Tamandua tetradactyla: one gene and its partners. The protein of the gene in region 2 binds, or shares a complex with, the protein of the main gene of each other region. Links are inferred from orthologs where the notes say so. Each region holds a gene or a part of one and is shown on either strand. Other genes may lie near its edges. The genes, in order: protein S100-A4, ANXA2 and S100A10.

What was found.
Region 1: the proteins of ANXA2 (region 2) and protein S100-A4 are in contact, whole or in part, in a crystal structure (PDB 5LPU), measured with the Homo sapiens proteins. The link is inferred for Tamandua tetradactyla from reciprocal best matches to the Homo sapiens genes ANXA2 and S100A4. Residues at the interface, in NP_001002857.1 of Homo sapiens: Leu13, Glu14, Pro21, Ser22, Ala23, Tyr24, Ser26, Val27, Lys28, Tyr30, Thr31, Asn32, Phe33, Glu36, Arg37, Leu40, Thr44, Gln69, Asp70, Phe73, Arg77, Arg78; in NP_002952.1 of Homo sapiens: Lys35, Leu38, Pro43, Ser44, Phe45, Leu46, Gly47, Lys48, Arg49, Thr50, Asp51, Ala54, Phe55, Lys57, Leu58, Asn61, Leu62, Gln73, Phe78, Cys81, Ile82, Met84, Met85, Glu88, Phe89, Phe93.
Region 3: the proteins of ANXA2 (region 2) and S100A10 are in contact, whole or in part, in a crystal structure (PDB 4FTG), measured with the Homo sapiens proteins. The link is inferred for Tamandua tetradactyla from reciprocal best matches to the Homo sapiens genes ANXA2 and S100A10. Residues at the interface, in NP_001002857.1 of Homo sapiens: Val4, Glu6, Ile7, Leu8, Lys10, Leu11, Ser12, Leu13; in NP_002957.1 of Homo sapiens: Phe39, Gly41, Phe42, Asn45, Gln46, Ala51, Lys54, Ile55, Leu79, Ala82, Cys83, Tyr86, Phe87, Met91.

What each region holds. Positions count from the first base shown.
Region 1 is NC_135330.1:6,366,064-6,375,607, forward strand, and holds protein S100-A4, read right to left. Parts: upstream 4,544-9,544; 5' UTR 4,481-4,543; intron 3,545-4,480; 5' UTR 3,530-3,544; coding exon 3,389-3,529; intron 2,630-3,388; coding exon 2,465-2,629; 3' UTR 2,332-2,464; downstream 1-2,331. UniProt on the Homo sapiens protein: Calcium-binding protein that plays a role in various cellular processes including motility, angiogenesis, cell differentiation, apoptosis, and autophagy.
Region 2 is NC_135340.1:76,389,123-76,398,869, forward strand, and holds the start of ANXA2 (annexin A2), read right to left. Parts: upstream 4,774-9,747; 5' UTR 4,757-4,773; intron 4,737-4,756; exon of another isoform or gene 4,497-4,736; intron 4,355-4,496; exon of another isoform or gene 4,247-4,354; intron 1,828-4,246; exon of another isoform or gene 1,730-1,827; intron 1-1,729. UniProt on the Homo sapiens protein: Calcium-regulated membrane-binding protein whose affinity for calcium is greatly enhanced by anionic phospholipids. It binds two calcium ions with high affinity. May be involved in heat-stress response.
Region 3 is NC_135330.1:3,154,099-3,163,869, forward strand, and holds the start of S100A10 (protein S100-A10), read left to right. Parts: upstream 1-5,594; 5' UTR 5,595-5,672; intron 5,673-9,771. UniProt on the Homo sapiens protein: Because S100A10 induces the dimerization of ANXA2/p36, it may function as a regulator of protein phosphorylation in that the ANXA2 monomer is the preferred target (in vitro) of tyrosine-specific kinase.

The DNA of each region.
Region 1 (9,544 bases), on a different chromosome or scaffold from region 2:
GAGAAACCCCCTCTCTATCTCACTTTCCTTCCTTGTTTACTGTGGGAACACACTGAGTTCACCATGGCACACACATCCCAGAAACTATGGTTCTCAAACCCTGCATCAGAACTCACAGTGATGGGCTAGCAGAGCAGAAGAGGGCAAGCCAGGCTGCAGGGAAAAGAAAACTCGGAAGGTATGGGTAGACCACTGTCCCCAGTGGGCCACTCCCACCCATCCTTCCACTCACTAAGAGCAAACAGACCTTGAGCTAGGGGTCAGTAGGGAAAGTTTCTAGCCAAGGACGGGGCCAAGGTCATTAGCTAGCCTGGAGCCTAAGATTTTCAAAGTGCTTTAAAATGAATGATTTCTTTTAAGCATCCCAAATCTTCATGGGTTAAAAATTGTTGGAGACCCTTGGAATGGAGGACTGAGAATCAGGAATTGGGGAAGGGATCCAGGGAAGGACGAGGGGCCTGGCGACGGGATGAGGTTGTGGATGAGAAGACAGGTCCCGGTTCAAGGCGCACTGATAGACATGGTGAGGCTTGGGGAGCGTTGCCTGCATCTCAGGAAGACTGGAACACTGTTCTGAGAATGGGAACAGAACAACTTAGGGGCTTAGCAAGCAGTCCCTGCCACGGCCCCAACCCTTGCCTGCCTGGGCCCTCCCTGCTGCCCCCTGCTCCACCCCCGCCCCCGGCTGGCAGGGCTCAGGAGGCAGCAGGAACACGTTGCTGAGCAACAGGAGTTTCCGAAGACGAGAGAGCGCTGCAGGAGGAGGCTCAGGGGAGGGCGGTCCCAGGGAAGACGGCGGCCGGAAGGCTGGCCTGGGGGGGGGGGGTCAGTGTGGGGGGGGGTGTGGAAGAAGGGAGAAAGAAGGGGAGAAAAGGGCAGAGAAGCCCGTTTTTCTGGGACCAAAATTCCACCCACGTCTCTGTAGCCAAATTCTAAGGGAACCGCTGAGTCACGTGCCCCTTTCCTGTGAATGTGGAATGTGAGAGGAGAACAGGGATGAGAGGAAAGGGGAGAGTTTGATGGGCCAATGGCCCCAGATCCTGCTTCTTGGCCTGACCTTGACTCACCTCTTCCTTAAAGGTGCCCCGCGTCATCCGGGCATGGCCTTGAGGTCTAACTTGAAACCCACCCACCGGCCCCTGCAGCCCATTGAGCCTTAGTCTCCCCGAAGTGGAAGCAACACATGCTTGATTTCCTGCGGAGAGAAATCTCAATTTCATTTATCAGATCATGTGTCTGGAATTTTTGTCTCAAAAACTTCAGTCACGTGTGATTGTGAAAACCTTGTGTCTGATGCTCCTTTTATCTACCTTATCAACAGACGAGTGAAACATGTGGAATAAAAATAAATAATAAGGGGCACAAATGTGAAAATAAACTTAGGTTGAAATGCTAGTGATCAATGAAAGGGAGGGGTAAGGGGTATGGTATGTATGAATTTTTTTCTGTTGTCTTTTTATTTCTCTCTCTGAATTGATGCAAATGTTCTAAGAAATGATCATAACAATGAATATGCAACTATGTGATGATATTGTGAACTAATGATTATATATGTAGAACGGAATGAGCATATGTTAAGAATGTTTGGGTTTCTTTCTTGTCATATTTTTTTAAAAATTGAAAAGTTAATTAAAAAAAAAAAGAAAAAAACAAAACTTCAGGCACCTCCTCCCCATCTCCCTCCCACCCCAACCAGGTCCTTTGTCCTTCTCTGAAAACACGTGACTCCTAATTGATAGCAGATCTCATCCCAGGGACAGTGGACTGGAGAATGACTTCTGCGAACAGCCCTGTCTCCCTCCTTATCCAACCATGGATAGGAAAGGATGAATCTGTCCCTGTGGGTCCTGATTGCAAATGTCAGGATTGCGGGCCAGCCCTCCTCCCCGCCCCCTGTGGCCCCGGGCTCTCACACCCACACACCCGGCCTGCTACATCCCCCCTTCCCTCCCCATGACTCCTTCCTTCCATCTCACTCCCTGGCAACCCAAGCCCATTCCAGACCCCAACCAGGAGCAGATGTGACCTTCCATCCCATCTGGGCCTCAGTTAGAGGTCCTGCCACAGGCAAGATTGGAGAGGGGTGGGTGGGGTGAGCTGGCTGGCTGTGATCCCCTGGTCTCCGGTGGTCCCTTTCCCTGCTCCTAGCGCCATCCAAAGCCAGCTCTGTCCTCCCCGGCCCCTTCCCCATGCACATATCCTGGTCAGCTCCCCTCCACTAGTCTGCTCCCCAAAAATCTGCAGCTGAGCTGCCTCTCCATGAGCCTGCGCCTTCCCCGGACGTATCCCCCGGCCCCTACCCCGCACACCAAGTCTCTCAGACCAGCAGCCTTAAAGCTTTCAAGACTCTTTATTGGAGTTGCTCAGCATCACACACGAGTCTGGAGGAGCCAGGGGAAGGCACCGCCCCCACGGCCCCCAGCCAAGGCCCGGCCAAGCCCCCGCAGCCGCAGCTCGGGGTCACTCATTTCTTCCGGGGCTGCTTGTCGGGGAAGCCCTCAAAGAAGTCGTTGCACATCATGGCGATGCAGGACAGGAAGACGCTGTACTCCTGGAAGTCCACCTCATTGTCCCTGTTGTTGTCCAAGTTGCTCATCAGCTTCTGGAAGGCGGCCTCGTCCGTCCTTTTCTGGAGAGAGAGGAGGCGACAGGTGAGGAGGCGACAGGTCAAGCGCCATAGCCTAGGGAGTGAAGCCCAGACGAGAACCGAGTGCCCCCCCAGATCTGGGCTCGAGAAGGTGCTTGGCCACTCCTTGGGAAGCCCAGGCTTTAGGACCTTCCACCTTCAGGGCGAAGCTAGTGCAGGAGGAGGCTGTCCCTTGGGTGAGAAGGACTCTGCTGAATACCTACCTGGATGCTGTCAACTGAAAAGGCGGGACATCTTTTCCCAAGGCTGTTTTAAGACTCCATTTAGGTAATGGCCATAAAACAGCACACAAGGGACGGTTTGACATGGATGAGAGCTGCTTTATTGCTTGAGGGGAGATCTGTAGGCGTATGCCAGCCTCCATAGCTACATCGGCACATTCACAAGCCAAATAGAAGCTCAAAATTTTTCCATTGCTAGAGTGGCAGCAAGAGTCCTGGTGCAGCTCTCGGTTGCATGCATGGACCACTTTGCAAAGTTACTTAGCCTCCCTGAGCGTCAGCTTTCCCTTCAGCTAAGTTACATAATAAGTACAAAGCACCTGGCTGCACGTCCAGCTGGTAACTCACCCTCCATCAGCCTGCGCCGGGGACCCGTGCATGCTGGGCACCGGCTGTCTTTCTCTGAAGGCAGCCAGGGCAAGCTCTCTGCCCCCTCCTTCCCCCTTCCAGTGAGAGATACCACCTGTAGCAAAGACTAGCACCTTCCAGGGCCTCGCCCCTCTTCTGGGCACCTACTTACCCCCAAGAAGCTGGGCAGCTCCCTGGTCAGCAGCTCCTTTAGCTCTGACTTATTGAGCTTAAACTTGTCACCCTCCTTGCCTGAGTACTTGTGGAAGGTGGACACCATCACATCCAGGGCTTTTTCCAGGGGGTACGCCATGGCAGCAATCAGGATCTGGGGGTGGGGGGGTTCACAGAGGCACCCTTATCTACCCTACGTGCCAGCTAAGCATCCACAGCCCCCAACCCACTCCCCACCCCTCATGGAGCATTTGATGAGACTCTGGTCCTGCCGTGGGGGGAGCCTACAGAGGCGGGGCTCAGCTCCTGGTGGCGTCAGGGGCTGTATAGAGTGGGAGATGCAAGCTCCAGGCAGCAAACATTGGCAGGGTCCACTGCACAGGCTCTGGAGATTCAAGCCGCCAGCACCCTGGGCCTCACTCAGGTCGTGTCTCAACCACAGTGTTGTTTCCACCCCTTACAGACCCCCCCACTCCCCCAGCCGGGCAGCGGCTCCACCCTGAGCCATTCTTCTTGCTTCCAGGCTGGGTGTGGCTGCTGGAGCCCAGCCCAGGGGCCTGGAGCGGAAAAAACCAGCTGCCGGGCCTAGGGAGGGGCAGGGTGAGGTGGCAGAGGCAGGCATGGGAGGGGAGGGGAGAAGAGGAGGGGGGAGAAGAGAGAAGGAAAAAGAAGGGAAGAAAGACTAGAGGAGGGGAGGGGAAGCCGGGCTCTCCCGGGCTGGGCTGCTCCGTGCAGGGCAGAGGCTCCTGGGACACTGCCGGACAGAAGCCCACAGTGCCTTCTGCCTCCATCTGCCTCCCACTGCTGGGCGTACGCACATGGCCATATGCAACCCAGCAAGCACAAGCCATGGGTCACACACATGCCACAGCACACCCCAACAACACTGCCTGCAGCCCCCGCCTTTCAGTACACCTGCACACTTTCTGTTTCTCTCTCTTGCACACACACATCCCACCCCAGAGCCTCCACATCTGAATTGCACATCTGGATCCATTTAGCACATCTGGTCCCCACCAACCTCCCTTTCTCCTGCCCCGGAGCCTGGGTCAGACACCCCTTGCATGCCAGCCAAGCAGCCACAACTCACCAGGACAAGTGAGAGGAAGCGCCAAAGAGAGAGGGCTGGGGACAGAAGAGTGGGGAAAGCCCAGCGGTCTGACCTATTTATACCCGGGGCCAAGCCCTGCCCATGGCAGGGGATGGGGGAAAGCGGGAGACTGGCCTCCTGCTGTGGGCCCATGTTTGCCACAGCCCCCTCGACCATCCTGCCCAGGAAACCAAGCTTCCTGCCCCCGGGCAGGCCCAGGTGGACAGTGGGTGGGCACCAGTGAGCCTGGGCAGACACCTCCGCTGGGTGGGCATGCCCAGCGCACAGAGCTCAACCTGGGGTTCCTGGAGCTAGAGGAGGGGGCGGTGTGTGAATGGAATGTGGGGGTCAGGGAGTAGGAGGGCCTGGGAAAAGGGGTTCAGGGGTGGTGGGGGAAGGATGGCAAATGCCCCTGACAGTATGGGGCTTGGTGGGGAGCCCCAGGCTCAATCAGCCCTTCCCCTCCCCAAAGGGCACCTGCCATGGTGATGGGGTCGGGGAACAGGGGGCACTCAGGACGGGGAACTGGCTGACACCCAAAGCAGGCTCAGGACGCCCCAGAATGTCTGTCAACAAAGGACCTGGGTGAGGTGGCATGCAGTGGTGGAGGGGGACGGGGCTCAGAGATGGGGTGAAGAAACAAGGGTGGGGTGGTTAGGGACAGGGGTGGGAGTGGGGGTGGCTGGCGTAGGGGTGCGTGTCAGGAATTCAGAAGCCAGGTTGGGGCAGGAGTCAGGGGTGAAATGGTCCCATAGGGACAAGTCAGGGATGAGGGTTAAGTTTCCAGGGAGGGGCTTGAGCTCAAGGATGGGGGTTTTGGGCTGATGGGCTGAGCTGATGAGGCGGGGGCGGGGGCATTGAGGCTCAGGGTGGGGGAGGACCCCAGGGATAGAGTGAAGCTCGGAAGTGGGGGTCTGGGCCCTCGGTAACTATGACCTCAGGAATGGGGTCTGCCCCAAGGTCTCCCCTACCCCTTCCAACACAGGGCACCCCTCCTTGGTTGGGTGCAGACACTTCAGACATCCTAAACCCATGAATCCTGTTTTCAGGGCTCCCTCAGCCCTGGGCTGGGCATACACCCCCCCCACCCCGCCCCACGGCCCCACCCGCCTCAGAGCATCCTGTCACGAGGGCTGGGCTGGGTCGAGCTCAGCTCTTCTGTCCCCGCTGAACCACTGGCTGCCCCGCCTGGAGGGCACTCCACCCTCAGGGGCCCCAGAGAGAGGCCCTGTGGCCCCTCCCCCAGGATGGGAGTCACTGCGTGGGACCCCACCCCTTTTGCCGGGCTGCTGAGACCAGGTCATTTCCTCCGGGTCTGAAACGGCCCTGGGGTGCGTGGGCTGCTCGGGGGCCCCTCAGCTGCCCGCTTCCCCCCAAAGGCCCGGGTAGGGCAGAGCCTCAGCCAGCGGCCGCCCCAAGACCCGGCCTGTCCTCTCAGCAGAACCAAACCAGCCACGCTGACACCAGCTCTTTATTAGGAGTTAAACTGCCTTTTGGGTGCTCGGTCTCACTGGGCCCCCGGGTGCTGGGTCTCACTGGGGTCTCGGGTGCTGGGTCTCACTGGGGTCTCGGGTGCTCGGTCTCACTGGGCCCCCGGGTGCTCGGTCTCACTGGGCCCCCGGGTGCTCGGTCTCACTGGGACCTCGGGTGCTCGGTCTCACTGGGGTCTCGGGTGCTTGGTCTCACTGGGCCCCCGGGTGCTCGGTCTCACTGGGGTCTCGGGTGCTCGGTCTCACTGGGGTCTCGGGTGCTCGGTCTCACTGGGCCCCCGGGTGCTCGGTCTCACTGGGCCCCCGGGTGCTCGGTCTCACTGGGCCCCCGGGTGCTCGGTCTCACTGGGCCCCCGGGTGCTCGGTCTCACTGGGCCCCTGGGTGCTCGGCCTCACTGGGGCCACGCTCTGCCGGGTCTTCACTTCCCCCCAGCAGCCCCGCGTCCCGCCCCCGGGCCCGGCATCGCAGCAGGGAGGCAGAAGAGGGGGCGCAGAGGGGCCCGCGGCTGCTGTATCCCTCACTGCGGCGCAGCCTATGATATGGGGCGGCATATCGGGGTGGACCTGGCAGATCCCTCATTAAAAAGAGTATAGGTGGGTGCTGGGGCGGCTCAGGGTAGAATTCCCGCCTGCCATGTGGGAGACCCCGGTTCGATTCCCAGCCCAGGCACACACACACCCCCAAAAAGAGGAAAAAAAGAGAGATTTAGGAAGGAGGGCAGAGGGGCATGTGGGAGACTGTTGGTGACCTGCCCCGGACCACGCGGGGCAGAGGCGGGGCAAGTCCGGACCTCCCGGCCCCCTGGGCGCAGGCTACTGGGCACAGGCAGTCTCCGGGGCGCAGGGAGCCTCCGGGGCACAGTTCTCCAAGCCACGTGGCAGTAGAGACAGAGGCAGGCAAGTGCGCGCATGTATTCCGCAAAGTCCACCTGGCAGTCCTTGTTGGTGTCCAGAAGGCTCATGAATTTATTGTAGTCACACTCCCGAAGCTCAGTCTGTGCGACGGGAGGTGGGGGAGGGGTGAGGAGCGGGGGGGAGGGGTGAGGAGCTGGGGGAGGGGGACTGGCCCTCTTCTGTCCCTCCCCTCCGAGGAAGCCCCTCTCCTCCCAATCCACACTGCTTCGGAGGGCCAACCTCAGCCAGCCGGTTCCAGTTGCATACCTATTTCAACCCTGCCCACCCACTCCAAATCTTCCTTCTCAGATCATTTATTGAGCACCAACTGTTTGCTACTGAGCGCCTATTATATGCCAGGCATTCTTCACGGTGTTTGCACTCAACCCTCCCAATGCAGCAGGTGGGACTGTCGTCACTTCGTTTTACAGGGGAGAAAACTGAGGCACCTGCTTGCCAGGTGGGTCCCTTCCTAGCCTCCCTTCTCACTTTCCTTTGTTCGTGGGTGGCCCAGACTCTGCAGACTCGAAGGAGAGGCACATCCGGGTACTCACTGGCCTCCAAGTGGGCAGCTCCCTCTGCAGCAGCAATTTGAGCTCAGTCTGGCAAAGCGTGGGCCTGTCGTCTGCGGTGACATATCTTCGATAGACTTCCAGGATGGTGTCCAGTGCCTGTTCCAGGGGACAGGTCATTCTCTCTGCAACAGAGCAAGAGGGCGACTCATGGTGGGGTCCCAGGCCAGCGTCCCTGCTCACCTCTGCCCTCTGTGCTCCCAGGCCTCTCTCAGTCTCTGTCAGGTGTGGGGCCCCAGAAGCTACCCTAGCTCTGAGAAGCCCTCTTAGGCCCCACCAGCTCCTCTTAACTCATCTCATTACTGCCTCCCCACCCCCACCCCTTGTGATTTTTCTCAACAAAGATCTTATTTCCCCAACATCACTGCATGTCCCTCAAGGAAAGAGGGTGTCTCCCACCCCACCACTTGCACCCCTGCGGGTTCCTGATGAATCCCACCTTTTCTCAGCCCCCAGCACCCAGGAAGGTGGCAATCCCACTCTGTGCCACTCTCTGAGATGCAGCCCCCTTCAGGACCCCAGAGCTCCTTCTTGTAAGAATTTGCACAGAGACCCTCACCCAGGGCTGACTTGTCCTCAGGCGTTTGGAGAAGCTGGACATAGCAGGTGGGGCTGGGGGGTGGGGGGAGGCCTGGAGGGACGTCCCAACACCCTCCCCTACAATCCCTCCTCCCCAAACTCAAGGAAAATCCTCCAGGCTCGCCTCTGCCCCTCTCTAGCCTGGTGTGTGAAATGTGGTTAGTTCCGCCTTTCAGGTCCAGCCGGGGATCCGGGCCAGATGGTCTCCGGAGGCCCTGCTGGCTCCAGTGCTGACCCCACCCTGATGGCCCCACCCTGAGGCCACCCCCGACCTGGGGGTTCTTGAGATAGAAGATTCTTTGTAGAAGTGCCCTGTTCTGTTAGAGGCCAAGAAGCGCTGCCTGGAGTTGCCCACCTCCCCCCAACCCCAATTTCACCATCCCCTCCCCCCACCCTTCTGGGCCGATGCCCTGCCAGGGGAACCCTAAGGCAGCCAGGCAGGAGAGTTGTTTCCATGTGAGCCTGTGACTCACCACCGCCTCCCCCAGGGACAGGGACGGGAGCCCTGCACCGCAGAGCAGCAGGGGCCAGGCTCTCTCCCTACTGAGTCCCTTCTGCAGACCCCATGGAGCAAATGGCCTCACGGTCATGACTGGTGGGGGGCTGGGGGGGGCAGCTAACTGTCTGTGATAGCCTAGACTTGGGGCAGGGTATCCAGGTGCCCAGAGGAGGAAGGGACTGAGATCCCAGGGAGTAAGGGAGACACAGGAGGTGCTTAGCCCTCTGGGCTGCTGCCAGCCTGCCTGGCGCCACCGCTGTTGCTGTTTCCAAAGTTCAGTGCCCGGAGATGGGCTGGGAATCCTCCTTTCCTAGGCCGCCCTGAGCCATCTCAGCCGGTCCCCAGAAACAAAGCAAAGGAGGCAAAGAGGAGGGAGAGGGGGCTAATTGAGAGCAGCCCCTGCATTTCCAGCCCACCGCTCTGCCCCCAGCGCCAGACCTCAGCTTTGCATGCACAAGTCCGCCATACCTGCCTTCCCTCACCTTATCGGTTGGCCAGCCCCTGCCCCTATGCCCAGGCCCTGGGCCAGAAGACAGGCTGGCTATTGGGGGCCCCCTGAAACCCCCTAACACCCAACTCAGGGCAGCAATTGGCACTCACCACTGGTGTTGGAGTTTCACCTGTCAGAGCCCAGAGGCAGGGAATCCCTATTTGTAGCTTCCCAAGGAAAGAAGAGAGCAATTATGGGGAGCCCAACTGGGTCAGTATGGGGGATGCCCACAGGGGCTCCCTGTATCCTTCCTTCCGCTTCCTCTATTACAGGCCCCATCCACCCACCTGTCTACGCACACATCAAAGACCCAGCCTGGGGCCTCAGACACCCCACCCCCACCCCACCCCCACCCCTCTCACTTCCCTGCTGCCCTCCCCCAGAGTCAGTAGCTGGGTTTGGCCTCCTGCCCATTTGGAGGTCTATAGGCTTCACTCTGAAGAGGCACCCCCAGAATACAAAGTGGGGGACACACTTTGCATCCACTTAGGTTGGTGCTTCAGAGAGCTCCTGTGCCAGAGGAGACCTTGAGAGTGTCTG
Region 2 (9,747 bases):
ATTAGAACTGAGCATGGAAACGCCGTCTTCTGTTCTATCTGCCAGCAGGTCTCGCATCTTTTTTTTTTTTTTTACCCCTCCCATTCATGGATCACTAGCATTTCAATCTACTAAATTTATTTTGACATTTGTTCCCCCTATTATTTATTTATTTTCAATCCATATGTTTTACTCATCTGTCTATAAGGTAGGTAAAAGAATCATCAGACACAAGGTTTTCACAATCACACAGTCATGTTGCAAAAGCTGTATCATTACACAATCATCTTCAAGAACATGGCTACTGGGACACAGCTCTACATTTTCAGGCAGTTCCCTCCAGCCTCTCAGTTACGCCTTAACTAAAAAGGTGCTATCTATTTAATGCGTAAGAATAATCTCCAGGATAACCTCTCAACTCTGTTTGGAATCTCTCAGCTACTGACACTTCATTTTGTCTCCTTCTCTCCTCCCCCTTTCAGTTGAGAAGGTTTTCTCAATTCCCTGATGCCGAGTCCCAGCTCATTTCAGGATCTCCGTCCTACGTTGCCAGGAAGGTCCACACTCCTGGGAGTCATGTCCCATGCAGGGAGGGGTAGGGTAGCGAGGACTCGCATCTTATTGTAATGAGCACAGCACACAGTTAGCGTCCATTCTGTACTCTAATGGTTTACATATACTGGGCCTTTCCGTGTTAGATGGTCCTTTTCTTTTTCTTCCTTTTTTTTTTTTTTAATTTACTTATTCCAACACACGCTTCTTCCTCCATTTTCTCTCTCTTCCTCAGACTGAACGTGTTAAATGCGGCTCCAATTCCCTACCTTTGCAGCTAGAGGTTTAAATCCCCAGCCTCTGTGTCAATCTTTGCAAAGTCTGGCAGATCGTGTGCCCCAGGAGCAGCCTCTTTCCCATGGTGATTGCAGCCTACCCCCTACCCCAAGCCCAGCACCCTACTCTGAACAGTCAGGGCTGCTTGGATCCCAGCTCTGTCCTCAGGACAACATGGAATTGCAACCTACGTCTCCTTTCAGCACTTAAAGCCAGGGGGCGGTAAGGAGGCAGGGTTTACAAGTGGCCTTAACACTCTGACCTTCTGAGCTAAGGAGTGTGGAGACTGGGTGTGGCAGGGAGAGGAGGGGCAAGGGTTCCATATCACAGGCACCCCCTTGAGTCAGAGCTTTCGGCACCAAATCTGGGATTCGAACTCAGACCCCTTGGGTGCTACTGAGTTGCCCTCTGGTCAGGGTTGTGTGAAAATGACTTAAAAGCTTGCGGGTGTACAACAGAAGAGAGATTTGGAGGTAATCTTGGCAGATTTCACCCAGAAGTACAAGCCTGGGTATCTCCTGATTCCTACTGCTGACCTGACCCCTCAACAAAGTAGCTGGGGACTACCTCTGGCAACTGGAGAGGGAAAAATATACCCGATAGTGAATGGGCGGAAAGAATTTTTTTAAAGAACTGTAATTTCCTCTGGTGTGGCCTACAACTAGAATAGGGTGTGGCACCAGGGAAAATGAGGGAAGTGGAATTCCATCTGTTAAAAAAAAGAAAGAGGTACACACCACTCTATTTAGTTCTCACAATCAAATCTGGAAAGCAAGTTAAAAGTCAGGATTAGCTTTATATAAAGCTTCCCGAGAGGCGGTCTTAATAGGATGCTTGGATCTGTAGCCAAGTTTGAAATCTCACATTACTTTAAGTAAAGGTCATATTTAAAATCTGATAACTGTCTATACGAGTCACTTACTGTGTCTCTTTTCTTTCTCTTCCTGCTAGAAGTAAGGTCTCCAAGAGAAGGAATTTTTGTGTCTGTTTTATTCACTGCTATATTCCCAGTGCCTGTAACTGTGAATCACAAATACAGGTAATTAAAAAATATTTTGTTCAATGAATGGATGCTTAGGACAGCCCTCTGGACCCTGGGACTCCTCAGTGGGCTCAGAACCCTGCACAAGAAAGAGCTAGAACAAAGGCTTAAGGCAGGGTGCGAGTCCCAGACACTATGCCCACCTGGGTGGGAAGTGCCTACAGCCCTCAAAATCAATAGCCAATTATGGAATATTTACCTTGCCAGGAAAAACACTTAAATGAGAAATCAGCCAGGAAACTAATGGCCATTACTGCAAGCTTAATGTCAATCAATACTTTAAATACTGAGATTCCAGTCCATAATTCAGCTGCTAATAAAAGCCAGTGAGTCAGCTATATTTCCTGCGCATTTTCTGCAGGCAGGTCAGGTGGTACTGCAGGAAATGACAAAAGCCTGGCAGTATCCAAATCATAACTGAAAAAATACACGTAGAAGGCCACACCCTTGCACTGCCCATGCGATGAGTACTTCTGCAGAAAACCTTGACACTTTTAGATAACAGGTACACGTAGAGGAAGGGAGAAAACTGCTAAACTGAAATGTCTTTACTGTTACTGGCCACAGGGACACTTCTTCAAGTTTGCCTCTCTAAACCTCACCTTCACCTAAATTTTCCCTTCACACTGTCTGAATATTATTATTCCTTGATTCCATAGCTTCAAATTCTATAAATTAAAGATCTGATTGACCAGTTTTTGTTGTTTTTTAAATAACGTAACTCCTTCGGATTGCTGAGGATTTGGGGACCACAAAACAAATCCTAATTTAATGAATATTGATTCAATCTGCTAATCCCCTAGCTGGGTACAACTATACTGAAATGGACAGAGGAGCGAATGCAGCAAGACTGAAAAAACCAGAATGGTTTGTAACATGTTGGAAGAACCGGTCTCTAAAGAAGTTAGAGGAAGGCCGAGAGAAGAAAGAGGAGAGGGGACAAATACGTAATTTTCTCATTAAAATAGTTTAATCAAGACCAGTCTTGAAACTAAAAACATTCCAGCTGTTCATTTTCCCTACCCACATATCCTCCTCAGGCTGTTCCCCACACCCACATCAGGCATGCAGTATCAGTACTTAGATACAGTGCACGTTAAAAATGATCTTCTGGGCTAGCCTGGGAACTCAAGCACATTCTTCTAACATTGTTACAGTGGGACAGAACATTCTGCATTCCACACCACCAAGCTCCAAGCAGGCAAGTGACACCCACTTTTGGAAAGAATCCTTATTAGAAGCAGTCTGAATTCAAAGGCCCAGGGACCCTGAACTCCAGGAGTCTGGCAAAGACAGACCCAATGTGCACCTACGAGGCCCGACTCTTTTACATACAAATTCAGCATCCATAAATCACAAACAGCAAATCTTATCGCAATGATGACACTTTGTACTGGTACTGCACTTGCCGTTTTCACTGTACTTTCCAAATGTACTTATTGGTTTTCGAAACCTGCAATAATAACCCTGTGCAGATGGAAATAAGAACGGGTAGCCTTGAACTACTCTTGGCAGATAAGGAACCCAAGCGTCCCATAGCAGATGCTGGCGCTGGCCTCCCAGAGCTGCGGGGAGCGGGCGGGGAGCCACGCCCTTTTCTGTACCCTTAGTCCCTGACTCACTGTCGCATCATCCGAGTAACAGTCAAGCCCAGGCTCCCCACAGAACAACGGTGGGGGGGGGGGCACTTCCTGATGCAGATGTGTTCTACCAGGCTGAGAGTGACTCCCAATCAACAGAAAATCTCCAGAAACACTGAAATCAGAAGTTGCTATCCTACAAGATAATCTGGACAAAAGAAAATGAGCTGAGGTTTTTTAGGTTATGTTGTAGTTTTGGTTTTACTTAGGGGGGGCGAGGGGGAATGGCCTGCTGCCCAGAACTTCCACCCTTCCTTCTTCTCCCCAGTGCTTTCCTGCTGCGGTCGGTTCAAGCGCCACAAACGTGCGTTTCTTTCGAGTAAAGTAACTTGGAACAAATGGAGATTACTTTCTAGATGGCGGGAGAGCTTTTGTTAAATGTGGAGGGAAATGCCCGTGGACAACTGCTCCGCACCCGACCCGCCGCTCCCCGGGCGGCCACACCCTGCCCCGCGCGGGCCTCGCGCCGCTGGAATGCCTGGCCTCCCTGGGCTCCCCTCCCCGGGGCAGCGTCGCCCGCGCTCCCTGCCGGGCCTGCGGGGCCCGACCCCCGCCTCCGCGCTGCGCCCCAGGCCCCGGCGCCGCTCGGGCCCGCACACAGGCCCCCCCCCCCCCCCACTGCGGAGGTGCCCCTCTCCCGGATGGCCTCCCGGGTCCCCGTCTCTTTACGAGGCCACTGCCTCCTCCCCTGCGCTTTGGACCCGCTAGCGCGGCGGCCCCGGGGCCATAGCGGGCGGGCCGGGTGCGTCCCGCTTACCTGGGCCGGTCGGCGAAACTGCAGGCGTCTCCAGATGCCGAGCGGAGCCGGCCGGCCTGGGAGGGGCTTTTATACCCGCCACATCCTCCCTCGGCCAGGCGAGGCCCGCCCCGCCCCGCCCCCTGCCCGCTCCCACCGGGGCTCCGGGTGACTCACCCTCCCGGGCCCGCCCGCCCGCAGGGGCAGCCTCGCCCAGGAAAGTTCTCCGGGCCGCGCCACGAGGGAGCGGCCCCCACGCCCACGCCCCTACCCTCCTTAAAGCCCCGCCGAGACGCTCAGGCTTCCTCGAGGCCCATTGTCGGCCTTGTTTCTTCTCCCTTCAGGAGCGCCACGTCGGGTTCGCAGCCGGGGCTTGGGTTAGTAAGTTGGCACTTAAGTGGACTGTGGGCTTAGTTAAGTCACTTATTGGGTTTTTTTTCCGCGTCAATGCAGTGGAGAAAACAATTGTTCCAAGAAGCATCCGTCGTGATTCGCCTGAACTAAGGCCGTTTGCATCCAGATATCCATTACCTCTGCAAACACATTAGCTTCCCCTCCAGCCGGCAGTTCCCGGGAGGAGCGGGAGCGCGGGAGGGCGAGTCGCCAGGCCCTGCCTTGCAGTCTGGCCCGCCCCGGCCTTCCAGCATTGGGCTCGCCAGAGCCGGGGCTGCGAGCTCCCGGAAGGCCGAAGCCCGAGCCAAACGTTGGGCCGGGGTCCGAATGAGGATCGGGTCCCACACCCGAGCGTCCGGCAGCCCCGCGAGTCCTTGGGGCAGGACGTCCCGGACTGGGTGGGGCCGGTGGCTTTGAACCCCGAGTTCCAGCAAAGGCGTTTCCTGCCTTCCTTCTTTTATTACTGCCATTCTTTCCCAGCCGCTTGGCCCGCTCTCCCTCGGTTTTGCTCAGTTTCTTGCTTTTCCTTTCCTTGCATTGCTTCCACGAGCTAACATTGGCAACATGTAGGCCAACAAATGTGTTTGTGTGTGACTGAGCAAATACTGTGTTAAACCTCAAACTAGCAGGAATGCTGCGCCTTTGAATTTCCTTCTTGTACTCTCACTTCATACAGTTCTTTCTTCTAGACCTGATGTTGCTGCGTCTTTCGGCACAACCATTTTTGCTTTCAGTTAAGCGTCAGTTCACTCCTGGGAAGAATCAGAGAATGGTAGAAGGATCATCCAGTGCCCATAGAAGAAGAAGCTAAGGTCAGAAGACTCTCAGTGCCATGCTCATGTTAACCCGCCAATTAGCTGCAAAATTCACACCAGAACTGGGGTCTCTGGACCCTCAGCCTAGAACTCACTGTTGCCCAGTTCTTTCACAAGAAAGTATACGTCAAAGGTCCCATCAGAAGGGCAAAAGGAGAATAGATCCCTTAAGTGTTTTTGTTTTATTTTTTTTTAAAGTTTATTCACACAGCATTCAATCCATCCTAAGTGTACTATCATCCATGGCTCCTGGTGTAATCACATAGTTGTGCATTCACCACCACAATCTATATGTGAACATTCCCATTTCTTCTAAAGAGGAAGAAAAATCCTACAGCCCTCCCTTATATCCCCCTATTATTGACATTTACTTTTTGTACAGTGTCTTTGTTACAACTAATGAAAGAATATTACAACGTCACTGTTAACTATAAACCTGTTTGCATTAATTGTATTTTTACCCATATACCACCCCATTAGTGACACCTTGTAATAGTGACATACATTTGTTCTAGTTCATGGAAAAATTTTTCTTATATTTGTATAATTAGCCACCATTATCATCCACACTAGGTTTCATAAAGCAACACTTTTGATACCACTTCTGACCTACATTTATGGTTCTTCAACTTAAAGTGAAAGCCTTGAAGGCAGAAACTATGTTTCCCTATTCAGTGAGCATTTTGAAACATTGGGGAAGCCAGCCAGAAAATAATAGTGTGCATAATTCTGCCTTCCTTCTCTAGTTCTTGAGGCAGATTCCGCAGCCTCTTGGTGCTAATTGTGCTACAGTTAGCCCATTATGGAAGAAAACATTTCATTCAAATCATGTGGAATGTATAAAAGACACCAAGTATCCAAAAGAATTTTTTACTTACCCTGGTCATCCTGCAAATCCAAACTGTGCAACAGTCATTGTTTGCTGCATGCTAAAGAACTTTGCACTGGGGTTACCACATAAATGAAGTTACTGAAAGTCATGATTTGCTATTTCTGAGGAATGTGAGGCCAGTTCTACCAGTATACAAGAAATTCTGACATTTCAATTCTAAAGATTCTCCTTGCTTTCTTCTCCTTTTTTCTCCTTCTGTTTTCACGGTTGGGGAGACCTCAGATTTCAATTTTTTTATTTCTCATCTGCTGTATCTCAACAACTTTAACAGTGCCTCTATTAGCATTGATAGGCATTCACTAAAATGTAATAGAATGATAGAAAAAAATTATTCAGAGTAATAAAACAGAGCAGAAAGGAAACTCAGAGAGTAACCTGTTCAGTCCCTGATTTTTATAGAGAAACTGGAGCCCAAATAAAACCTGCCCACTCCAGAGATTAAATAATGCACCCAAGTAAGTCCTTATATCAGTTACTTACTGCAATGTAACAAATTACCCCAAAACATAGTGGCTGAAACATAAGCAATCATGTATTTGTTCATGATTCTTCAGTCTGGGCAGGGCTCAGGACAATTTGCTCTGCTCCATTTGGTTTTGGTTAGGACAGCTCAAGCAGAGTTGGGGAGGACCCAAAGTGGCTTCATTCTCTTGTCCGGTGCCTCAGCTGGGGTGGCTGGAATGGCTGAGGGCTAGCTGGGCCTCTCCTTTGGTCTCTCAGGTTCTCTCTCTCTCTCTCTCTCTCTCTCTCTCTCTCTCTCTCTCTCTCTCTCTCTCTCTCTCTCTCTCTCTCTTCCAACGTAGTCATGGCAGTTGGCTTTCAAGAAGCCAAAGTCGAAGTTGCCAGTCCTCTTAGTTCACAGCCTGTAGAAAAACAAGTGCTGAGCTGAATATGGTCTGCACTTGCCCTGCTTTAATCTGCTGTTATGCTCAGTTTTTATTTTCTTTTGGGTTCTTTTTTCTGTTTTTTGTTTGTGCTTTTATAATTATTGGCAAGAATAAACTAGATGTGGACTGTGTAATGAGGAAGACTGTACAAACTAATAAACTTTTGAAAAGTTAATTTCATTTTTAAATTTTCAAATTGTCCAAACACTATACCTACCGAGTAACAACATCCCCTATACCTACCTGCCCCCTCCCATCCTCTGGTAACCTCTGATCAACTTTCTGTCTACAAATTTTCCATTTCTAGATATTTCATATAAGTGAAATCATACAGTATTTATCCTTATGTGCCTTGCATATTTCACTCAGCATCATGCTTTCAAAGTTCATCCATGTTGCAGCATGTCTCAGAACTCCATTCCTTCTCATGGCCAAATAATATTTCATTGTGTATATGTACCACATTTATTTTGTCCACTCATCTATTGATAAACTGTTGGGCTGCTTCCACCTTTTGGCCATTGTGGATAATGTTCTTATGAAGATTGGTGTACAAGTACTGTTTGAATCACAGTTTTCAATTTCTTTGGGTATTTAGGAGTGGAATTGCCAGGTCATCTTGTACATTTTGTAAGTTTTGTATTTGGGAAGTGTGAGTCCTCCAACTTTGTCCTTTTAAAAAAACTGTTTTGGCTGAGAGTGAAATCACCAAGATGGTGGAGTGAGATGAGTTCTGTCCTTCCACAGAAGTTTTAAGCAAGCTTCCACAGAAGCTTTAAACATCAAATTCTCAGAGGTCTGAAAAACAAAGGATTTAAGTGTCAGGGCAATCCCCAAAAGAAGAAAACGGCAACTTAAAAATTATAGGAAAACCTTGAGGTGCCCTTGCTGGTCCTTTTCTCACCCACTTCTTTGCTGAGGGTGAGCCCATTCTCCAGCATGAGTCCCTGGTCCCAGTTCCAGAGGGAACAAAGTAACCTTCTGCACCTCCTAGGGCGCATGCGTGTCTGTATCAGGCTGTCTGGTGTAAGCGTGAAGGACTGAACCAGGAAGCTCACGGCAGGCTTACTGTTCCAGAGCTTGGGACTCCTGCATGTAGAGATGACTCACACGGGAGCTAGAATGATGTAGGAGAACAATCAAATAGTAGCTGCCTGGGGCAAAGGATTGCTGGGTTTAAGACATGCAGTGTAGCACTCAGACCTGGAAGGGAAGGTATTTCCTAGAGGGAAGGGACATTGGGATCCAGGTAATGGAGGAAGTAGAGGGCCATGCACTCATGCCTAGGACATGACACATTCTCAGTAAAGACCAGGGAAGAACCTATGTTTTCACCTTGGGCTTCTCTAAACTTATTGTTAAGCAAGCTAAACTCAGAAGGAGCGCACTTACACGTGATAATCTATAAAGACTGGCAGAGGTGTTTTCTTCTTTTCTTTCTTTCTTTCTTTTTTTTTTTTTTTTGGTTAGATCCTGATATTCAAGGAAATCTCTGTCATAATATTAGCTTGATATAAGCTTAAGAAATTGATACCTCAGTGACTAAATTCAAGAAATAACATATTAAAATGTGGAATGCCCTATAAAAAGAAACAGTGAATGGTGGCCCATGCTAAGGAGCAAGATAAACTTTAGAAATCATCAGTGATGAAAGTCAGAGCTTGAGCAAAAACCAGACAAAAACTTTAAAAAACTGTCCTCAATATACTCAAAGAACTAAAGGGAAACACAAAGAACTAAAGAAAATCAGAAAAATGATAGATGAAAAAAGTTAATATCAGTAAACAAATAGAAATAATAAAAAGGAACAGAGTTGAAGATCACAGTAAGGTAAATTAAAATTTACCTAAAAGGGATTTAACAGGAGATTGGAGCTGGCAGAAGAAAGAACCAGTGAACTTGAAGATGAGTATATTAGCCAGGGCTCTCTAGTGAAACAGAACTGTTCTAGTTTGCTAGCTGCCAGAATGCATTATACCAGAAATGGAATAGATTTTTTTAAAAGGGGAATTTAATAAGTTGCAAGTTAACAGTTTTTAATTTGTGGAAATGTCCCAAACAAAGCAAGTCTATAGAAATGTCCAATCTAAGGCATGCGAGGAAAGATACCTTGATTCAAGAAGGCTGATGAAGTTCAGGGTTTCTCTATTCAGAAAGGCACACAGTAAACATGGTCAGGGTTTCTCTCTTGGCTGGAAGGGCACATGGCAAACACGGCGTCATCTGCTAGTTTCCTCTCTAGCTCCCCAGGAGGCATTTTCCTTCTTCATCTCCCAAAGTCGCTGGCTGGTGGCCTCTCTGCCTCACGGTTCTGCGGCGTTCTCTGTTGTGGCTTTCTCGTGGCTCTGTTGGTCTTCTCTGCTCTCTCTGAACCTCCTGGCTTTCTCTCTTGTTGTTCTCTCACTTTTTCCAAAGTGCTGCTTCTTTTAAATGATTCCAGTAAAACCAGTCAAAACCCACCAGGAATGGGTGAAGACACATCACCACCTAATCCAGTTTAATACCCACTCTTGAGTGAGTTACATCTCTATAGAG
Region 3 (9,771 bases), on a different chromosome or scaffold from region 2:
ATACATGTGATGGAATATTATGCAGTTGAAAGGATAAAGTTATAAAGTATGTAATAACGTGGATGGACCTTAAGGACACTTAAGGACATTATGCTGAGTGAGGTTAGCCAGAAACAAAAGGACAAATACTGTATGGTCTCACCGATATGAACTGACATTAGTGAATGAACTTGGAAAACTTCAGTTAGTAACAGAGGTCATCAGGAGATAGAAATAAGGTAGATATTGGGTAATTGGAGCTGAAGGGATACAGGTTGTACAACAGGACTGATTGTAAAAATTCAGAAATGGATAGCACAATACTACCTAACTGTAATACAATAATGTTGGAACACTGAATGAGCCGAATGTGAGAATGATAAAGGGAGGAGGCCTGGGGGCACAAATGAAATCAGAAGGAAAGATAGACGATAAAGACTGAGATGGTATAATCCAGGAATGCCTCAAGTGTATAATGATAGTGACTAAACATACAAATTTAAAAATGCTTTTGCATGAGGAAGAACAAATGAATGTCATTACTGCACGGTCTTGAAAATGGATGGTAATTCATATTTTAAAACTTAAACTTATGTGTGAGACTGTATCAAAAAATGTTTATTTAGTACAAAATTTTTATTTTGACTAGTGCATTTTCTAATATAACTTATGTGGATAGCTTAATTGAACACCACAGTACACAGAACCTTGAGTAAGGCATGAGATTTTGTTGGTTTGTCCAGAGTGATGCCCTGATAAATCCCAGAGTGATCTGAACAGTGAATAAAAAAGTATTTGCAAAGTCCCCTTGGGGGAATGGTGAGAAAAGGGGAAAATTCAACTTGCCCAAGTGGAGAATTCTTGATATTCTCACAAGCAGGGGGACAACCAAAGCAATAGGCTGAGCCCCCAGTCTTGGGGTTTGTTCATATGAAACTTATATGTGGGAGCCAGGGTTAATGGAAAACCTGCAGAATTTGTTGGGAGCAACTGGCTTCAGAGTGGCGTCGGCAGTAAACTGTGGAGACTGCTATCTGCTTAACTGGAGGACAGCCTGAGAGGGAGAGAATGTTTGTTTTTTCTTAAGCCCCAAGGTCTTGTTAGCTATCTCTTGTATGTAGAGAGTAATATACTGATAAGTAGGCACTCTGTTTTTTTCACGAAATGTATGCCTGCTTTTAGTCACCTAAACCCTGCAATATAGAAGCAGGAACTAATTAAAAATAAAGTTATCTGTTTTCTAAGCTTCAGACCCCCTGAACCCATCTGTTTCTTTCTTTCTTTCTCATCATTCCTTAATATCGTTCGAGCTCCATTTCATAGGAAGCAACACTTAACCCCGCAAAGGATAGGTCAAGCCTACTTAAAATTAGGCCTAAGAGTCATCCCCAAGAGAACCTCTTTTGTTACTCAGATGTGGCCTCTCTCTATCAGTACGGCAAGCAAACTCACCGCCTTCCCCCGCTCTAAATGGGACATGACTCCCAGGGGTGTAAACCTTCCTGGCAACATGGGACAGAAATCCTAGAATAAGCTGGGACTCAGCATCAAGGAGTTGAGAAAACCTTCTCGACCGAAAGAGGGAAGAGAGAAATGAGCAAAATGAAGTGTCAACAATGTCTGAGAGATTCCAAACAGAGTTGAGAGGTTATCCTGGAGGTTATTCTTACGTATTAAGTAGATATCACCTTGTTATTCAAGATGTAATGGTGAGGCTGGAGGGAACTGCATGAAAATGTAGAGCTGTGTTCCAGTAGTCATGTTTCTTGAAGATAACTGTATAATGATATAGCTTTTGCAGTGTGACTGCGTAACTGTGAAAACCTTGTGTCTGATGCTTCATTTATCTACCTTATCGACAGACGAGTAAAACATATGGATTAAAAATAAATAAATAATAGGGGGAACAAATGTTAAAATGAATTGAGTAGATTGAAATGCTAGTGATCAATGAAAGAGAGGGGTAAGGGGTATAGTATTTATGAATTTTCTTTCTGTTTTCTTTTTCTTTCTTTTTCTGAATTTATGCAAATGTTCTAAGAAATGATCATAGTGATGAATATACAACTATGTGATGATATGTGAGTTACTGATTATGTATGTAGAATGGAATGATCATATGGTAAGAATGTTCGTGTTTGTATGTTGGTATGTTTAATAGATAAAATTTTAAAAAAATAAAAAATATAATAAATAAACAAAAATTTTTTAAAAATTTTAAAAAGCTATATAGTTATACAATTATCTTCAAGAATCAAGGCTACTGGAACACAGCTCAACAGTTTCAGGTACCTCCCTCTAGTGTGGCTAATTCCTACTTGTCCTTTAAAACCCATTTAAACCAAAGGTAATTGATATCCTCTGATAGGAATCTGTCCTAAGGAAATTGCACATAGACAGAGATGTTTATTCAAGAAATAGTCAGGTCTACATATAATCATTTATGACAGCAAAAAGTTGGAATCATCCTAAATGTTAAAAAAATATGGGAAATGTAATCAGTTATATCTCACACTTGAGTTTTTTGTTTGGTTGGTTTGGCTTTTGGATTGCCTGCAAACGAGTCTTGACTAGATATCCATAAATCAGCGGTTATCACCTGACATGATGCTGTGATTCCTTAATAGGACGTTTTAACTGACAGGAAAGTGTATCTTTGCTACAATTGTGATTTCCCCTGTTAACTCAATGTCTGGGCAGACAAACATGGAGTGAGGCTTCTACTGGTGCAGGGTACAATGTGATATACATAGAGAGACAAAGAAACAATGCATTTCCCAGATCAGAGGGGTCAGGACAGCAAACGGCTCTGCCCAAGCAGTGACACGGTGCTGAAGTGTGATCGGTATAATACAGTAATGACTCAACATGCAACTCAAGTCTTTTGACTGTGCTGCCAAAAATACTAATACTCAAAAGAATGTGGCTGTATGCGTTAGGGTCATGCTGAACAAATAAATCCCCAAATCTCGAGATTTTCTCACTCCCAAAGCTAGCCCAATGGGAGCCTTCTGCTTGGCAGGCAGTTTCCTCCACGGGGTGACTCAGGGACCCAGGGTCCTTCTGACTGGTTCCTCTGGCCCAGAGCCTCAGAGTCCTGCAGACGTGGAGAAAGAAGGTGGGAAAGTCACCTCCGGACTGCCTTGGCCTGAAAGTGACACATGCTTCAAGTCCCATTCTGTGGGTGACCAGTCCAGGCCCCACCCAGGTGCAAGGGGTGCCAGGCGTGTAACCCCCCGCTGGGCAGCCACTTCCCGGCAGCAGTCTACCCTCCCGGCTGGGCAGCCACTTCCCGGCAGCAGTCTACCCTGGAAGAGGAGGCAGGCGTTCTGGGGACAGCCAGACCTCCTGGCCACAGCCGCAAAACTGCAAACCGTTGAGCACCACTGGATGACAGGAGCTTGTTACTATCAAACAGAGAAGTGGGAAAATATCCACTTAAGTAAAACAATCCCCCCTGCTGCCAGCATGGGTTTGAGTCCAACCCATGCACCCGAGGAAAAAAAGAAGCCATGTGATGATCTGTCTGGTGTATACATCACAATAAAACTGCATTTTTTTTGAAAGTCACATGAAGGAACTCATTCCAGCATCATACACAATAAAATATGCTCATGCTCACACATATACTCACAGTCTTGACAAATACTTAATGTAAAATGTGTTTAATGTTTTAACATTTAATGAACAGCAGTGAGAAAAATATATATATATTTAATGAAAATAGTAAGGATAAAGTGTTACATGACAAAAGTAGAATTTATAATTTTACATCAGTGTGATCACAAATCTGTAAATACATATGTACACATGCATAAAAAGACCGAAGGAAATATAAGAAAATGTTCACCTTTAGTTCATGAGTTTACACATAAATTTTTCTTTCTTAAACACTGATGCATTTTCTAAACCTACAGGAATGTAATCTTTTTACAATCAGATTTAAAAATCAGGGTGCACGGGTGGTTCAGGGGTAGAATGCTCACCTCCCATGTGGGTTTGATTCCCGGACCAGGCACCCCCACCCTCACCCCCCAAAAAAAGGATCAGAAGTTACTGTTATTTTTAAAACTTCTCTCCAAGGTTGCGTCCTCCCGGACCTTCCCCTGACCACTGCAGCGTGACCCGGCGCCGCTGCTCACTGCTCCTGGAGTGTCCCACCCATTCCTGCACCTCACTACCCACCTGCATTTTCCTTGCCTGCTGATCTCCTAACAATAACCGGGTCTCTGAGGAAAGCCACTGAGTCTTCTGATCTCTGAATCCCAAGGGCCTGACACACACTGCAAGCATCCCGAAACACTTAGGCACCACAGGAGGAAATTAAACGAGTAAGCAGGAGTAGGCAAGCTCAGCTCTGCAATCTTCCCTGGAACGGGGAACCGGGTTTTTTTTCCACTGGGGACGGCGACCTGGGGCCAGGAAGGCTGAGGAACTGTCCCCTGGAAGAGACGGCACAGGGGCCCAGGGGGGTCAGAGCTGAAACTTAAGTTGGGTTTTCCTGACAGCTGCTAGGATTAGTCACAGGGCCACGCTTGAAGGATTCCCCAGTCGGCTGATTCCTTCGGGATCACTCACTCCTCTCGGGACCTCCCCTAGGAACTAAGTAGGAAGGAAAACCCCAGACCTTGGGACTGCGCCCTCTTCAGCCAGCAGCTGCTAGGAGTTTGCATTCAACAAAGTTAAAATAAATGTCCACAGTTAAAATAAACGTCCACGGTTAGGGATCGCTAAGAAACACTTAGGTTTTCTCTGTATGCCTTCAAGCAAAAGAGCTCGGGGGGCCGAGCTGGCTAATGAACGAAAAAAAGATTTTAAAACTTAGATTTTAACGATATCAACCACATCTGAAGTTGAGCTACTGACATAATGCAGCCACGCGGACCCAGGGGGTGGAAACCCGTCGTTCAACAAAGGGGGAAACGCCCCTGGGCGGAGAGCCAAGCAGCCCCTCCTTCACCCCCCTCACCCCCCACTCCCTCCCTCACCCCCTCCCTCACCTCCCCACCCCCTCCCTTACCCCCTCACCCCCCTCACTTCCCCACCCCCTCCCTCACCCCTCACTCCCTCCCTCACCTCCCCACCCCTCCCTCACCCCCTCACCTCCCTCACCCTCTCCCTCACCTCCCTCACACTCTCCCTCACCTCCCCACCCCCTCCCTCACCCCCTCCCTCACCTCCCTCACCCCCTCCCTCACCCCCACCCCCTCCCTCATCCCCCTCCCTCCCACCGCCCCCAAGCCCCCCCCCACCTCCCGGCCCCGACGCGCCCAGGTCGGCTTCTAGCGCGGAAGTGAACGGAATCTGAGAGCCCTCTGCCCGCGCCCCTCCCGGCGCTGTCTTCTGGGAAACAGTCCCTAGGCCTGCGGGGCGCGGAGGAGCCGCCTCTGCGCCTGGCCGACGCGCCGCGCCCCGGCACCGCCGGACCCCGGGTTTCCGAAGCCGAGCCCGGGCGGGCGGGAGGTCCTGAGGGGCGCGGCGGGCGGCGCGGTGCACCTCGGGGGGCGGGGACGGGGTGGGCGGCGCAGGGAGGGGAGGGTGGGGAGGGCCCGGCCCGGCCAGGCCCCTCCCGCCCGCGCCCCTCCCGCCGCCCCGCGTACTAAGGCGCCCGCCCGCCGCGCGCCGCTCACTGGCTCCGCGTCCCCGCTCCCGAGGCCCCGCTCCCGCCGCCGCCGCCGCCGCCTCCGGCCAAGGTGAGCCCCGCCGGGCCCGCGCACCGCCCGCGGCCCGGACCGTCCCCACCCGGGGCAGCCCCCGGACCCCAGTGCCGGGAGCCCGCGACCCCAGGCCAGCGAGCCGAGCGCCCCGCGCCCCCCGCCACTCCGCGCCTTCCGCCGCCCCGCGAGCGCGCGGCCGGGGCCACCTGCCTTGCCTGCCCTCTGCCGCGGGACCTGGCCCGGGCCTCTGCCCTCCTCCCGCCCGGTCGTCAGCCGGTCTTTGCCGCTGCCTGCCTGCCCTTCGTCCACGCTGTCGGCTTTTCCAGACGCCGCGTCCCGCCGTCCTGGCCGCGGCATGGGGGGGCCCTCGCGGGCCCCGCCTCTGTCCAGAGGTGCCCACCCCGGGCTGGACGGTCCTGCGCCCTCGGGGGGAGGGGGTGGTAGCAGGGGCGGGGGGCCGGGCGGGGCCCTCCCCGGGATGCTCCTCAGACCTGCGCCAGGGCCCTCGGGTCGGGCTTCCTGTCTGCCTCGGAGACGGGGGCCCCACTGCGCAGCGAGCGCGCGCCGTCTGTTTTCTCCGCACAGCGAGGAGACAGGGGCCCTGCCTGACTTGGTTTCTCCACTGATGGACTTTTCCCCTTCTTACCATCTGAACTAAATCAGAGGACTGGGAGGGAGACGGGCGAGGGCGGGCTGGAGGGCAGCTCTCCCCAGCCCAGATGAACCTGGCCGAGTGCCGTGGGACAGAGGTCGGTGGGGCCAGGGTGCCCCCTCCACGCTGGAGGCTGGCCCGGGCAGCACCCTGCAGCCGGCCTCGCCGAACTGAAAGCAAGCAGAACCCCGAGGCCAGGCACGGCAGAGCCCTAGGCCAGCCTGGGTCACTCTAAGCCCACCGCCCTCCCCTCGCCCTCCCAGCCCCGCCCCCTCCCACGGGGCTGGGAGTCCTGCAGGGTGGGGTTACCACGGAGGGCTGGGGGTTCTCTAGCGGTGAAGGGGCTGGTGACTCAGCGGTGAGACCATGTGGGCGGGGCCCTGCTGCTGCCAGAGACTCTGCAGATGGACAGACACTCCCTGGAGGAAAAGGGAACTGTGCCATCTTAGAGGGCATTTTCCAGGAGGAAGTGAGTCACTCCAGGACTGACCCACGGTCTGAAGGAGAGCTATCTTCCTGAACTGTAAGGACAGTGATTAGATTGGCAGAGTCATGGCGAGACCATGCCACCCCATTATGGGTCCCTAAGGCCTGGCAGCCTGCCCCGGCTTTACTTGGGAGGTAGCTTTTCCCGTTAAGAGGTTTGCGGTGGCTGCAGATTTTTTTTTTCCCTCTGCAGCTTGAATTTCAACCTCCAGGAGTAGATTTTTATATCCTGCACTTAGAGGTGGGGTCAGACTCATGGAAACACCCTGCAGTGATCTTTGCTTCCAACTTGTTTCAGCAGATTGCAAAAGATAATGCCAGGGGGTGGGGCAGGAACCAGTGCATATAATTCATTTGGAATTTCATCATCAGCCCTGCCCCCACAGATTCCTATCTGGTTTCTATTTATTCATCCCTTTCTAAATGGTAAATACTCTCCTCAACAGCGCCAAGCTGGCTTCTTCCTTGAGGTCCTTGATCCACCATTTGGGGCTTCTTATTGCAGTTTTTCAAAATTTCTTGAGGCTCTCCTGTATAAAAAGCAGTTGTTTGGTATCAGGCTGATTTCTAGGTGATGCTTCTCCTGGCTTCTCCCGAGCATATGGCATTTGGGTCCTCTTTCTCCCCACGCCTGGCTTCTGGCCAGCCTCAAGCAGCCACCCCCGCGAGGTCAGGCCTGGAGCTGTGGAGTTGGGCCTGGGTGCGTCCCTGCTTTCCACAGACAGTTCCAAAAATGTGGCTTTTTTAGAACACTCCCCACTTGGTGTGCCTCTGGATACAGTCAAGTCTTTTAAAGTAAAACCAGAGGGAAACAATGGAATCCTTTCAGTGTTATAATGTGTAAATTAGCATTCAGAGTGCTGGGAAAGCTTGACAAAAATCGTAGGAGCATTCCTAAGAGTCTCCTTTTCCTGGCACTTAATTTAGGAATCTCCCATCAAAAGCAAAAACAATGAATTTAAATATTTTTAACAGCAGTTCTTAGCACTTCGGTCTCTTCGTTAAATAACTACATCTATTTACTGGTTCAGATTGATGCCTGATGAGAGCAAAATGGGTGTACTTCATTGGGACAGAGGAGGCGTCTAAGTTTTCTTCCTTTTGGATGTTTCTGGAACTTTCCTTTGCTGTCCACTTCCTTAAGGGACACGTTTTGTTGGTAAAAAGTTGAGAGACAACCTGGATCCTGACCTACTGCCTCAGTTCATTTCTTCTGAATTCCTTTTAAGGATCAAATTCAATGAAAACCTCTTTGGTTCAATTTTCAGAAAGCAAAAATTTTTAAATGCTTTTTTTTTTTTCAAAATTCCCAAAGCCAAAGGAAGGAAACCTCAAACACATTTTCAATAACAGATGTTTGCTATCACTGACACCCCGCCAGTTATTTTCTGGGTGGGCTGTAAGACAGCGAGACTAAGGGTGAGGCACAGAGGAGCAAAGTAAATCCGACCTCGTGCTCAGGAGAAGTGTTCTCTTTGAAATTACGGCCGGTTCTGGGCATAGGTCCAGAGCAAACATTTGAGATTGCTCAGGAGCAGACGCTCTGTGCTAAGCGGGCCCCTGCTCCCCTGTCACTCCCAGGATGGTTCAAACGTACATACGAGTATCAGTTTCATTCTTACCAGTTTATTGAGCATGAGGCAGAAGATGGGATAAACAGAAAGACGTGACAACAGCACAAGTGAGAAGAGGAAAAAGGCATGCCAGGGTCTGACCAGACCTGTTTAGCAGGACATGCATTTTTTCCTGTGTGCACTACTGTTTCATTCACAGGTGAGCCCTTTTGCGGCCCCTTTCCTGGCCCCTCCCAGCTCCGAGCCTTGAGCTCAGGTTTAAGGTTTGCAGCCCAGTCCTAAACAATCACACTCAGACCTCGGCTCCTGCCAAGGAAGTTGTCTGAGGCAGTCATTCCCTCATTTAACAAATGGCTATTTAGTGGCTAAAAGATAAATGCAGAAAAACTCACAGCTTTAGACCAAGGGAACTTGGATCTACAAAAGAGACAGGCAGGTAAGCCATTCCACGCAATCGAGTGCTGCCGGTTGTCTGGGCCCGGGGAGGGTGCAGCTGCCCTCAGCCACAGCCCCGAGGCCCTCCCCTCAACCAGGACCCAGCCCGCTCCTGCCCCAGAGCCTGTAGGGTGGCTGGGGATGGAAAGTCCAGGTGCAGGGTGCAGGCCCCTTGAAGAACAGCTGCTTCGGCCACCAACGGTCCGTGCTGCAGTCAGCCACGCCTGGGCAAGCCACGCCCAAGAAGGGAAGTTCCCTGCACACAAGCAAGGCCTCAGAGAAGGGCTAGGAGCCCACGGAGGTGATTCATCCACTTTCCAAGAGAACAGAGTTTTAGTCGCAACATTTCCCCCCTCTCCTTGTCTTTAAAACCAGTGTGCTGGCTCCTTCAGAACAGTTCTTGGCTGGTGAATGCCTTCTGGAGCAATGGCTGCTAAAGAGGAGTGCTTGTTCTCACTTTCAGGGTCTTTTATCTCCCCACCGGCCTCTCTGCATTCTTGTTGCAAGAAGGTCTACTGGACAGACAGGGAGTCAGCCGGCTGCTGAGTTCACAATCCATTTGCTGATTTAAACAGCTGGGAGGGAGGGCGGCCCAGTGGGGCAGGGATGTGGGCAGCTTCAGAGACAAAAGCGCAGTCACTTCATAAATAGTGTGGCCGAGAGACTCAGGTGACCCGAGACCCAAACATTCCTGCGGGGGGGAGGGACACTGGCCCCTCTCTCGAAGGTGTTCCGCTTATGACTTGTATTTCTTCATAGTTCCTGAATTAGCCTGTTTTAGGGGCTCAGCCGCGCTGCATTCCGTTTCCTACTTCTTCTCTGGGTTTTCTGCCGCTCGGCCTGCGAAGGTGAACTCGGTGTCCCCAGGCAGTGACAATGTCTAGGGCCTTTGGGAATCCATAGGGCGGTGCTCTCCCACTCGCAGTGTGGCCACAGGCATTTTAAACTCTGTGGTGTCTGACGCCTTTTCTGAGTCATTTAGGAGCTG